Drosophila melanogaster: one gene and its partner. Changing the gene in region 2 together with the main gene of any one other region gives a genetic interaction. Each region holds a gene or a part of one and is shown on either strand. Other genes may lie near its edges.

What was found.
Region 1: of chinmo (region 2) and dsx, changing one suppresses a phenotype caused by changing the other (phenotypic suppression), as found in Drosophila melanogaster (one study listed by BioGRID).

Annotation. Positions count from the first base shown.
Region 1 is NT_033777.3:7,964,181-7,969,018, reverse strand, and holds the start of dsx (doublesex), read left to right. Parts: upstream 1-1,610; 5' UTR 1,611-2,556; intron 2,557-4,838. UniProt on the Drosophila melanogaster protein: Controls somatic sexual differentiation. Binds directly and specifically to the FBE (fat body enhancer) of the yolk protein 1 and 2 genes (Yp1 and Yp2).
Region 2 is NT_033779.5:1,649,668-1,654,548, reverse strand, and holds the start of chinmo (chronologically inappropriate morphogenesis), read right to left. Parts: upstream 3,292-4,881; 5' UTR 2,837-3,291; intron 1,775-2,836; 5' UTR 714-1,774; intron 1-713. UniProt on the Drosophila melanogaster protein: Required for morphological differentiation of postmitotic neurons during postembryonic brain development. Ensures production of appropriate neuron subtypes within a lineage by preventing precocious generation of late neuronal types of that lineage.

The DNA of each region.
Region 1 (4,838 bases), on a different chromosome or scaffold from region 2:
CTCTTTCGACACTCCGCCATAAAAAGGGCTAAAATTTGTGCGATCCAAGGTACAAGAAATGGTGCAAGAAATGCGCCTTTAAAGCTATGTGAATTTTATCGTTCTACAATCGGCACGGGATCAATTGGTGAAGATGTAAATCGGATTTGGATGAAAAATGTATCCCCTTGCCTATGCAATATATACAGTTTCATGCAAATCAATGACAAAGCCTTCCGCTCTCACTTTCGTAAACATTTTTTAAATAATATGTTGTAGTACCCTAGTATGCAATTATATTAAGTTTTCACATTACCTCGATGATATTGATAGTTAATATAATAAGTAAGTAATTTTCTTTAAATTCAATTTTTGTATGAGCAAGTCAAAATAATTACATAAATTCATTAAATTTAAGTCACTTTATCACTTCATTTATTTAAATATTAAATTAATAACTTTTGTCTCTGAAACACTAAACGAGAATCAAAAACGGTTAATTAATGAGTATTATCTTAATGTTTTCTGATCGCTGAGCCATTCATTCCCCTACAATTTGGTCACCAATGGGAAACTACTGAAGTACCGAAGGCCCTTTCGAAATCGATTCACTGCCCAAAAATCGAACTCTCGACCATTTTTGGTTACCTTTTTGGGAGTTGCGTGCATCGCCTGAGGGAAGTATCTTTTAATGGAGCCGAGCTTCGGCAAAATTATCTCCGCCGTACTGTATAAACGATCCTGACTAATATAACGGCTGACGATGAAAGGGGACCTTTCAATGTGATAAATGCGAGTGCGACACACGCAAATCGCTGCGTCTAAAGGTGGCATAAATACGCGGCGCAGGCCGAAACCCAGCTGAGTGGTTCGACCTATATCGTCGGCTAGACGCCCAAACCCGATTCGATGCTCCCCATATCTGGCGCTTCTTCTTCTCGCGCCACGCGGAAAGAGAACGGAAGAGAGAGAGAGAGCGACCAGAGTGCAAATTTACGATCGGCACATGCAGGCGGGAGACGTCAATGTACGGCAACAAAGTTGCTCCACTCGAGCTTCTCGCAGAGATTCGCAAAAAAACACGCGAACTTCAAGAGAGAATCGCTCAGAGAGGAAGAGCACGTCTTCGATGTTTTATGCTCCCCATTAATGGGGCAAATGCACTTTACACTCTCGCAGACCCGTTTCTCTCCGTAACTCTCTGTTGCCCAAGATGCTTTCGTTTGAGTTCTTCACATACCAACGTTGCTTCGAGCTTATGAGTTTGCTAAAAATCGTGGGAACCGATGAAAGAAATGCCCTTCTATCGTATAAATGTTTCTGTTTAAAAACTATTTACTTAGTATTTAAAATAATTGACCGTTTTTCGTATTTCACATATTAAATAGCAACACAGAAGTAATGAATATTTTAAAACATTTTCCGTTCAAATACATAATTTTTTAAAATACATTTTATTTGGCTGATATTAGCGGAAATTAGCCCTTAAAAGTATGCAACGCAGGTAAGGAGAATTAAGTATCCGCAGTGCGGAACCTATATTTTTCGCGGCGAATTTAGCTCATATTACATACGATTTAATAGTTTGCAATACTTTTTTATAGTTCATAGTTCATATTGTAAGAATTGTGTTTAAATTATGTTATTTTTAGCATGGTTTACTTATGGAAAAGAGCATAGTTAAGGGTTTACAATGAAAACGGTCAAATAAGGGTATCCATATCTGGTACCAAACCAATTTGCTTTCTCCCAGTTGATGTGCAGTGCATCCAGCAGTCGAGCAGGTTGGATGCTCGCACTCGTTTCTTTTTTCGCGGTGCAGCAACCAGAGTGCAAATACAAATAGCAAGAGCGTTGCGTCGCCAGTCGGTGGGCCCGTCTCTGTGCCAGAAACACATGCTCAGTTTTAGGTCCGCCCGTCCGCCTGAATGTCCGTGTATCTGTCCGCTGTCTTTTGGTCTGCTAGTCGGACTGGTACTGGTCCGAGTGTTAGTATCGTGCACGGGGAGCTTTAGCTTTGTGGCCGCAACCAGTTTGCTGGCATCGATCGTCCTTTGCAGGTCGTGCATGTCGCGTTGGCGTCTCGCGCCGTCCGCGTTCCGTGCTCGAAATCACAATCTCAAGCTGAAGTGAAAAGAACTGGAGCGGATTCGGTACAAAATTCTGTGCGATAGTTTTTAGTTGCTGTGCGAGGTCCGAAAATATCTCTAAAATGCGTTGACCTACAGGGAACCAGATCGAGCCGCGAGTGCCATGCTAAACAAAGTCGTTTGCGGCTACAGCTTGTACGGTTTAAGATAACAAATAAAAGAAATAAATTTTTACCGGCTTCACACTCTCACTCTCGGTCCACGAAGCACTCCTGACCGTCTCGTACCCAGCCGATCGGACTCCCCGTATCTCATCGAGTTCGCCGAGTGCTAGTGCTATATTCTCTCACTTTGCTTGCATAACCAAGAGCAAAGCACACCTCGCGGAGGCAGATCGCAGATGCAGATACAGATACATATACTGCTAGTGGTCTAGTAGTGGACCTGGAGATACTCTAGCGAGTGCATGCAATTGGCATTGTACCTGGTAAGTGAACGATGAGTTACGAGCGCTCTGCGGCCAAAATGTGCCACCACTCCGCTCCGTTTTGCCACCTTTTTGCCCGGCATTTGGGGGCGTTGCAAACTGCCTTGTAATTGCCTGACATAAATGCTCGTGTGTACAAGGCTTAATGGCGATAGCAGCAGGTACGCTCAGCGATTGCCATCTACAACTGGCGGTATGACTGCTGAATGGGGGGGAGCCAGGGGTTCAGGCTATTGTCTGACTTCCAAATTAAACAGGAAACGAGCAACAGGTCGCGTTTTACAGCCACACTATGAGACTCCCGCATTAGTTTCTAAGATTGGGATAGCGTAGGCCATTGCCATTGTCGTTTGCGATCGGCTATCCTAGATGACTGCATACATATAAGGCAAATTGGACCAAGGTCTAAGTGGTTATGAGGAAAATGCAAATGACAAATACGGAAACCAACTGGCTTAAAACGATAAACACGTGCTGAATATTTTTATTCAAATTAAAGTTGAAGCGAAGGCGTTTCTTGTTAATTTTAAAGCTTACCATCGATTATTCACGAGTGCTGCAATTATAAAAAATATATGTAAATTAGAACTTAAATTTTTGCCAATGCTCATTGTGTATAGCGCGAAAGGACAGTTTACCTTTAATATTTTGTGTTATCTTGGGGATAATTATTCATTTCTTTTGGCTATTATTCTTGTCATTTGTAGTCGAAATAACATAGTTAGCCTTGCTAAGTTAAAACTCATATTTTAGTGGGCGTAAGAGATCATTAGTAGAAACTGCAGCTTGCTTTCACTCACGAAATCTCGACTTTCATGAAGACGGATGACGCAAATGGCAAGATCGAGTACACCTGTCTGTAGTCTTAAAAAAAAAGGTATAAGAACCTAGCATGCCGTTTGACTCCTCAGCAAACATGCAGACTTTTTACTCATAGATTTATATTAAGTAAGTTATTAAACCATATTAGCAAGACGAATATTTTAGTATAATATAAATCTGAGCTTGGTACATTTTCCCAAGAATATATACAAATATAAAATACCTGTAAATGCATTTTTCTTAGTGCACAGTTATAATGATCTGTACTCAACTTTTTAAGCTGCACCCCACTTGCAATTATCATATAATCGACTTAAGGTGCTTTTGCCATTTATAACGCCGAGCTGTCCTTGGCCCATTAATAACCTGAAGTGGGTTCTTATCGTGATCTCTTCCGCTTTAGACAAATTAATTGAGCATACATGCGCAAGCTGCACATTTTTTATGCTCGCCCGTAATCAATTTAATCCGCTTTTCCTTTGGCAACTTTGACCACTGTTTCCCTGCTTATATTTGTCATTATTTCCACCAAACACAAATATTGAAAACTGATAGCCAGCAGGGTCTTTCTCTTAAAGTGGCTCTTCGGAGGAATTATTTCTCTGCGGGTCTCTCAGCTCATACAAATTAGAGGCGACATGCAAGATAAGCAATCTTGTGCAGTTTTTAAACACACAGGCAAAATAACAACATTTTGCCGTGGCCAGCGGGAGGCGGTGGAAGAAGGGGGCGGGTATCTGGTGCTAGCACGAATGTGAGACCCGTTATCAGCACATCGTTCATGCTCAATTTACCCTCCATTTAAATACAGGGTATTAACTCTTTAGACTCCGAAATTAAGTCATTACAGCAAACGAAAATTGAGACAGACAAACGCTCACACTACATGTCACCTAGCTAATAGATTAAAATTCTCATCGATACTGGCTTTCGTCTATGTCACATATATTTCTCCCTATCTTTCGTTCATTAGGTTCTAATCAATCGTCAAACATTTTGAGTGTGAATCTGTGTGCATAGGCAAGTTCAATGAGTCACCATAATGTCAAACTAAGTGCAAATTAGATTAAACACGAATCAAACACGCCAGCAGGTGTGGAGAAAGTGGACAAGAAGTGTAGAAGAATCTTATATTCCCTATCTATATAATATAGAAATATTAACCACATTCTTCCCATGTATACTTTTTACTTATATTACTTATATTATTTGGTTTTTTTATTATTGATATGTAATTGATTGATGTAAAGCTTTTTTTATTTTTGTGCTTTAGAGGGCCATTTATCGATTTACGAGTATCAACATATTTATAGGCTTAACTTATTTAAGCAGGTAACAATATTTTGGTTCTTTAAGTTTGAGTAAACCCATTAAATTAAAAAAAATGTTTTTTAGAATTCCTCTTTTCCATTAATTGTTATTATATTTTAATATCTTTCTAAAATTGTTATATATCATAT
Region 2 (4,881 bases):
CAAAAACTACAACTTCCAGCGCACGCAATGCCAGACCAACCCCAACGCGTGCGAGCGGGACGGGGCGAGTGCGCGAGGGAGAGGGGGCGAGAGCGGTACAAAGAAGTACACAACGCACAAAATTTGGAACACGCTGCGTTTGCTAAGTAGGTCAAAGTGGCAGCGGCGCCGGCAGCGCAGTCGAAAAATATTGCGTGTCAACTGCGCCGCATTTTTTTTTTTTTTTTGTGCATCGGCAAGAAGCAGAAGTAATATATTTTTAATTTATGCACAACCCCAAAAAATATCTACACCCCTTTCCGTGCGTGAGTGTGTGAGAGAGTTTGTGTGTGTGTGTGCGTAGATACACATGTAGAAGTGACAAGCAAGCAACTTTTGCTTTTTTCTCGCGTATTAATATGCAACGCCAAGTTTTGAGTGTCATAAATCATACGCAAAGTGCGTAGACAATTTTTCTCTTGACCAAAAAATGTTTTCCTTACTTTTTGCATAAATTATAATTGTAATTAGAGGCGGAGCACTTGCCTTTTTTTTACGAGCGGTAATTGTTTGCAAATGTTTGTGGACACTTTCTAAAAAAAAAAAAAACATTTTTCATTTTACGCACTTTTTCGTGCGTGGGGAAACTTAAAAGGGCCATTAAGAAATGCGAAGAGATGTGTGAAAAAATGACAAGTTGTGAATTTTTCATAAATATAACATAACAAACTCACCTTAATATTCAATTGCAAATTTACGCATTAATCCAAATCCAGAATCCTCAGTTGTAACACCTTTCACAAGTGGTAATTTTGAATTTATAAGTTTTTCTTTTTAGTTTTTCTCACTTCACTTTTTTTTTCACTTAGGCCAAATGTTCTAGTTCTTTTTGTTGCTAATTAGTTAGGATATATACTCGAGTTGTTTTTATCAAAAATTGTTTACCAAATATTCTCCGATATAATTCGTAAGCATAGATATATGTATAGGTATATATTTTATAAATACATGTATTACGATTGGTAATTTTTTTTTTTACTTTATTCTTTATTTATTTTGTTAAATGATTTTGCTTTGCTTTTATCGAAACGAAATTTTTATGCAAACTAACACACACGTTTTATCTGCTGCTTCTGTTGCGGTTGCTTTTACTGTAGTGATCACTGTAGTAGTTGCTATGGCTGCTGTTGTTGCTGTTGTTGTTGTTGTTGTTGTGTTGCTGTGTTTAGTATTGCGTATGTCCGAACCAATAATTTTGAATAGTTTACCAATTTGGTGGCTTAAATTTTTGCGGTTTTCTGCGTTTGTTCTAAAAAGATTTCCCTCGGCTTTTCAACTGATTTTGGGCTGGTTTTTGCTGACGGTTTTGGTTTTCCTTTTGTTGCGTTAAAAATTTACATTGATTTTATTAGATTGTCATCTTAGTTGCAAATCATTTTCACGTGTGGACGTTTTGAGATAATTACAATTTGTGTATATTTTATGTATGATGTTTTGTTGCCAAAAATCGTTTTTTGTTAATTTATTTTTGTTGTATTTAATTCAAGACCAAAACTTATGTTGCCAATTTTAGAATTTTGCGTTGTTTTTCGAAATGTTTTTGTTTTCAGTTCATTTTTAGGTTGATTTGTTGCAATTTCGCGTTATTTGATTCAATTAAATTGATTTTGAATATTTAGATGGTTAAATGTTCTTGATTCGCATTTTGTAGCATTCGCTGGTTTTGAGGTCGTTGAATGTTTTTCTTGACTTTCCTAAAATTTGCTCGTTGAGACATTTTCACATTGACATTTGGCTGCAAATACAAAAGCGGTTAGAAAATTGTTATTAAAAAGTGTAAGTGGAATTTGGCTGATTGAAACTCAAATCTATTCGGGGATAATGTGACATGTTTTAAGTATTCATTTTCTTTTTAATATTATATTAATTTGTCACAGTTCACCCGAATAAATTTCATTTCATTTGTGCCCAGAATTTCTGGTTTCTTATCAGCCCGATTTCTTGTAAGTGGAATTGGATTAATGATTTTATTATCGCAGAATATATTTCATTTTCCCATTTTGGGACCGTAATTCCCACTTTGCTTCTGGCAAATGTCTTTTATTCTACTCAAAAACACTTTATATGGCATTGGGACTTGGAAATTTTGGGGAAGGGGAAACATTTTTATTTGAGCAGTGAATTGTCTAATTGTTTTAAGAACATTTACTTCAAAACTATTTTTAAGAAGTTTTCACATTTTGTAGTGTATTTCTGTAGTTGTTCAACACTTGTTCACCGTTATTCTACACTTTTCTCTCGCTTTTTTGAACAAGTGTCCTGGGGATTAATTGCATTTTGCCTTCTTTCCTGCACTTCATGCACTTTCCTCTATTCTCCCTTAATTGCTATTTCGTAGCACACACACACACACACACACACATAAACACACAGTGCAAAAAAGGGGTTCAGTTCACTGGTATTGCGCCTTGTTTATTTTCAGGGGGAGGCGGAAAACGGGGAGGGTTGTTTATTGTTCCATGTACTCCTCGCTGTTGTTGTTGTAGTTTGCTTTTGCTTATTTTTCTATTGTTGTTGCTTGATTAAAAATGCAGACGTTTTGGTTATGCATAAAAGTCTATACTTCACTTTTTCTCAGTTTGCTTTTGCTATTCGCTTCATTTTTTATGCTGCGTTTTGTACCGTTTGAAATTCGAGTTGCAAAGTCACACACACACACACATAGGCCAGAATTTCATGTGTGCGAGAAAACCAAGTACACACGCATAATTGTTCATTTTTGATTTTATGTCACTTTATTTGAGCTTTGAAACATACCACATGCACTTCAATATGATCAATATTCACTCAAAATTACCTTTGAATTACTAGGCGAACAGCCGTTTTGCAACACTCACGACGCACTCACGCACTCTTGCCACACACATGCACACTGGACAGTTAGTTTGTGCATTTGCTTTGCTCGACGAAACACAAACAAAACGTAAATAATAATTAAAAGTGTTCAATGCCGCAAACTTTTAGCACTTTTCGCTTTTTGCACTTCATCCGCTGCAGTTCTTTCAGTTCAGAAATGTAGAGAATAACTGTTTTATCAAGCGGTTTCGATTCTGTCCGTGCTTCCTCGTTTCTTAATTTACGTGTAAAACTTGAGTTGCCTGCAGTTGCCAGGGCTGACGAGCGACGAGGCGATGCGAATTTGCGACTGCGAATGCGAATGCACAAACGCTGCTGCTGCTGCGAGCACCACCGAAACAAGCAACCGCGAAACTTCAACACGTCCGTTCAACACGGCAGTTTCTTTTTGACTGCCGATTCGATTTCGATTCCAACAGGCGGCGAACGAACAAGCGTGCAGTGGTGTGCTCCGTAGAGAGAGAGAGAAAGAGAGCGCGAGCGAGCGAGCGAGCTTTTAATCCAATTGGAATGCAGGCGAGCAACTTGCAATTGTCAGATTGGACATCTCCAACAAGGATTCTTAAAAAGGATAACCGAAAATAGTCTAAAGTATAACAGAAAATAGTTTACATATTTTTTTTTAATGATTTTTAGAACACAATTTACTCAGGCGAGTAGAAGTAATGGTCGTTGCAACTGCTTTTTGCATGTCTTTTTCTGTGTGTATGCACTGCCGCCCCAGGATAAAAATTACATATATCCTCATAATCCGGGGGTGAGTCTCTCACTCTTTCTCTCACTCTCTCTTTTGCAGGCGCAATTGCATAAGGCAAAGGACATGAGGTAATTTATAGGAGCTCCGCTCAAGTGGAAAATGTTTAGGGAAATCTCGTCCCGAAATAGCAAAAGCAAACCTTAACTTGGTCTTAACCTATTCGAACAGCGGGGGATTCCATCCAGGTGGTCTCTGAATATTAGATGCAATAGAAATAGGGTTCGCAAGAGGCGATTTATATGGAAAACCACTTTAAGATCGGCACAATGAGTTAAGATGGGAATATGGGAAAAATGTTAATTGCATAGCTTTAATGCAAAAGAACGCATTACGTTTCTTTAAAATCTTGATCACTCTCAGAAAACAAAAGTAAAGGATAAAATTTTTTTAGTGGAATTCTTTGGAATTCTTTAGAAAATTCTTACAATTGGTCTTTGATTTCTAGGAAGAAAACAATAATAACCTAACTACTCAGTTCTCGCATAATTTGCATATCCCTTGAGAACTTTCCGATCAAACCATCAAAATTGGAACAAAAACCCTCAAAATGCTTTTCATTTCTCAGCCCAAAAACTTCCCCTATTCACACAAGTGTCAGGAGTCCCTTTTTTGAATGCAATTCCCATCAAAAATATCAAATTCCTAGCCAATCAAACAATAACCACTTAATTTTAGTGGAAAAAGAGTTGATAAAGTTGAATCAAACAATTACCTTATTTCTATTCATTGACAGTTCGTTAGCAACAGTATTTTTTTTTCAGTGCAGCCTTGCCAAAAACAATAACAATGCGCATTCGTTTTGCAGTGAGCGAAAGAGAGGAGAGAGCGGTAAGCTTTTTTTTGGCGCATGTTTTCCCATTCTCTCTCTCTCTCTCTCTCTCTGCTGCCATTTTATGCACACACAATGACAATGAAAGCTTGTCGGTAAAGGGGCGGGGTGTGGTAAGGGAAAACGAACAATTTACGCGATTCAAGAAACACGTGGAGTGCCGGCGTCGAAAATCCAATAAGCAAAGGCAAAAGCTCCTGCTTTTGCTGCTGCTTTTGCTTCCCCAGTCGGAAGTGGAATTATTCCGGAACGCGTTCCTTAATAATTCTTTTTCGATGCATTTTAAATTAATTTCATATATTTTTATTTTATAAAAATACCACTAGATCAAACCCTTTCCATAACGAAAAATGCAGTGCATTTTTCGGTCGAGCGCCAATAAACCTCACTCCACCTCCTA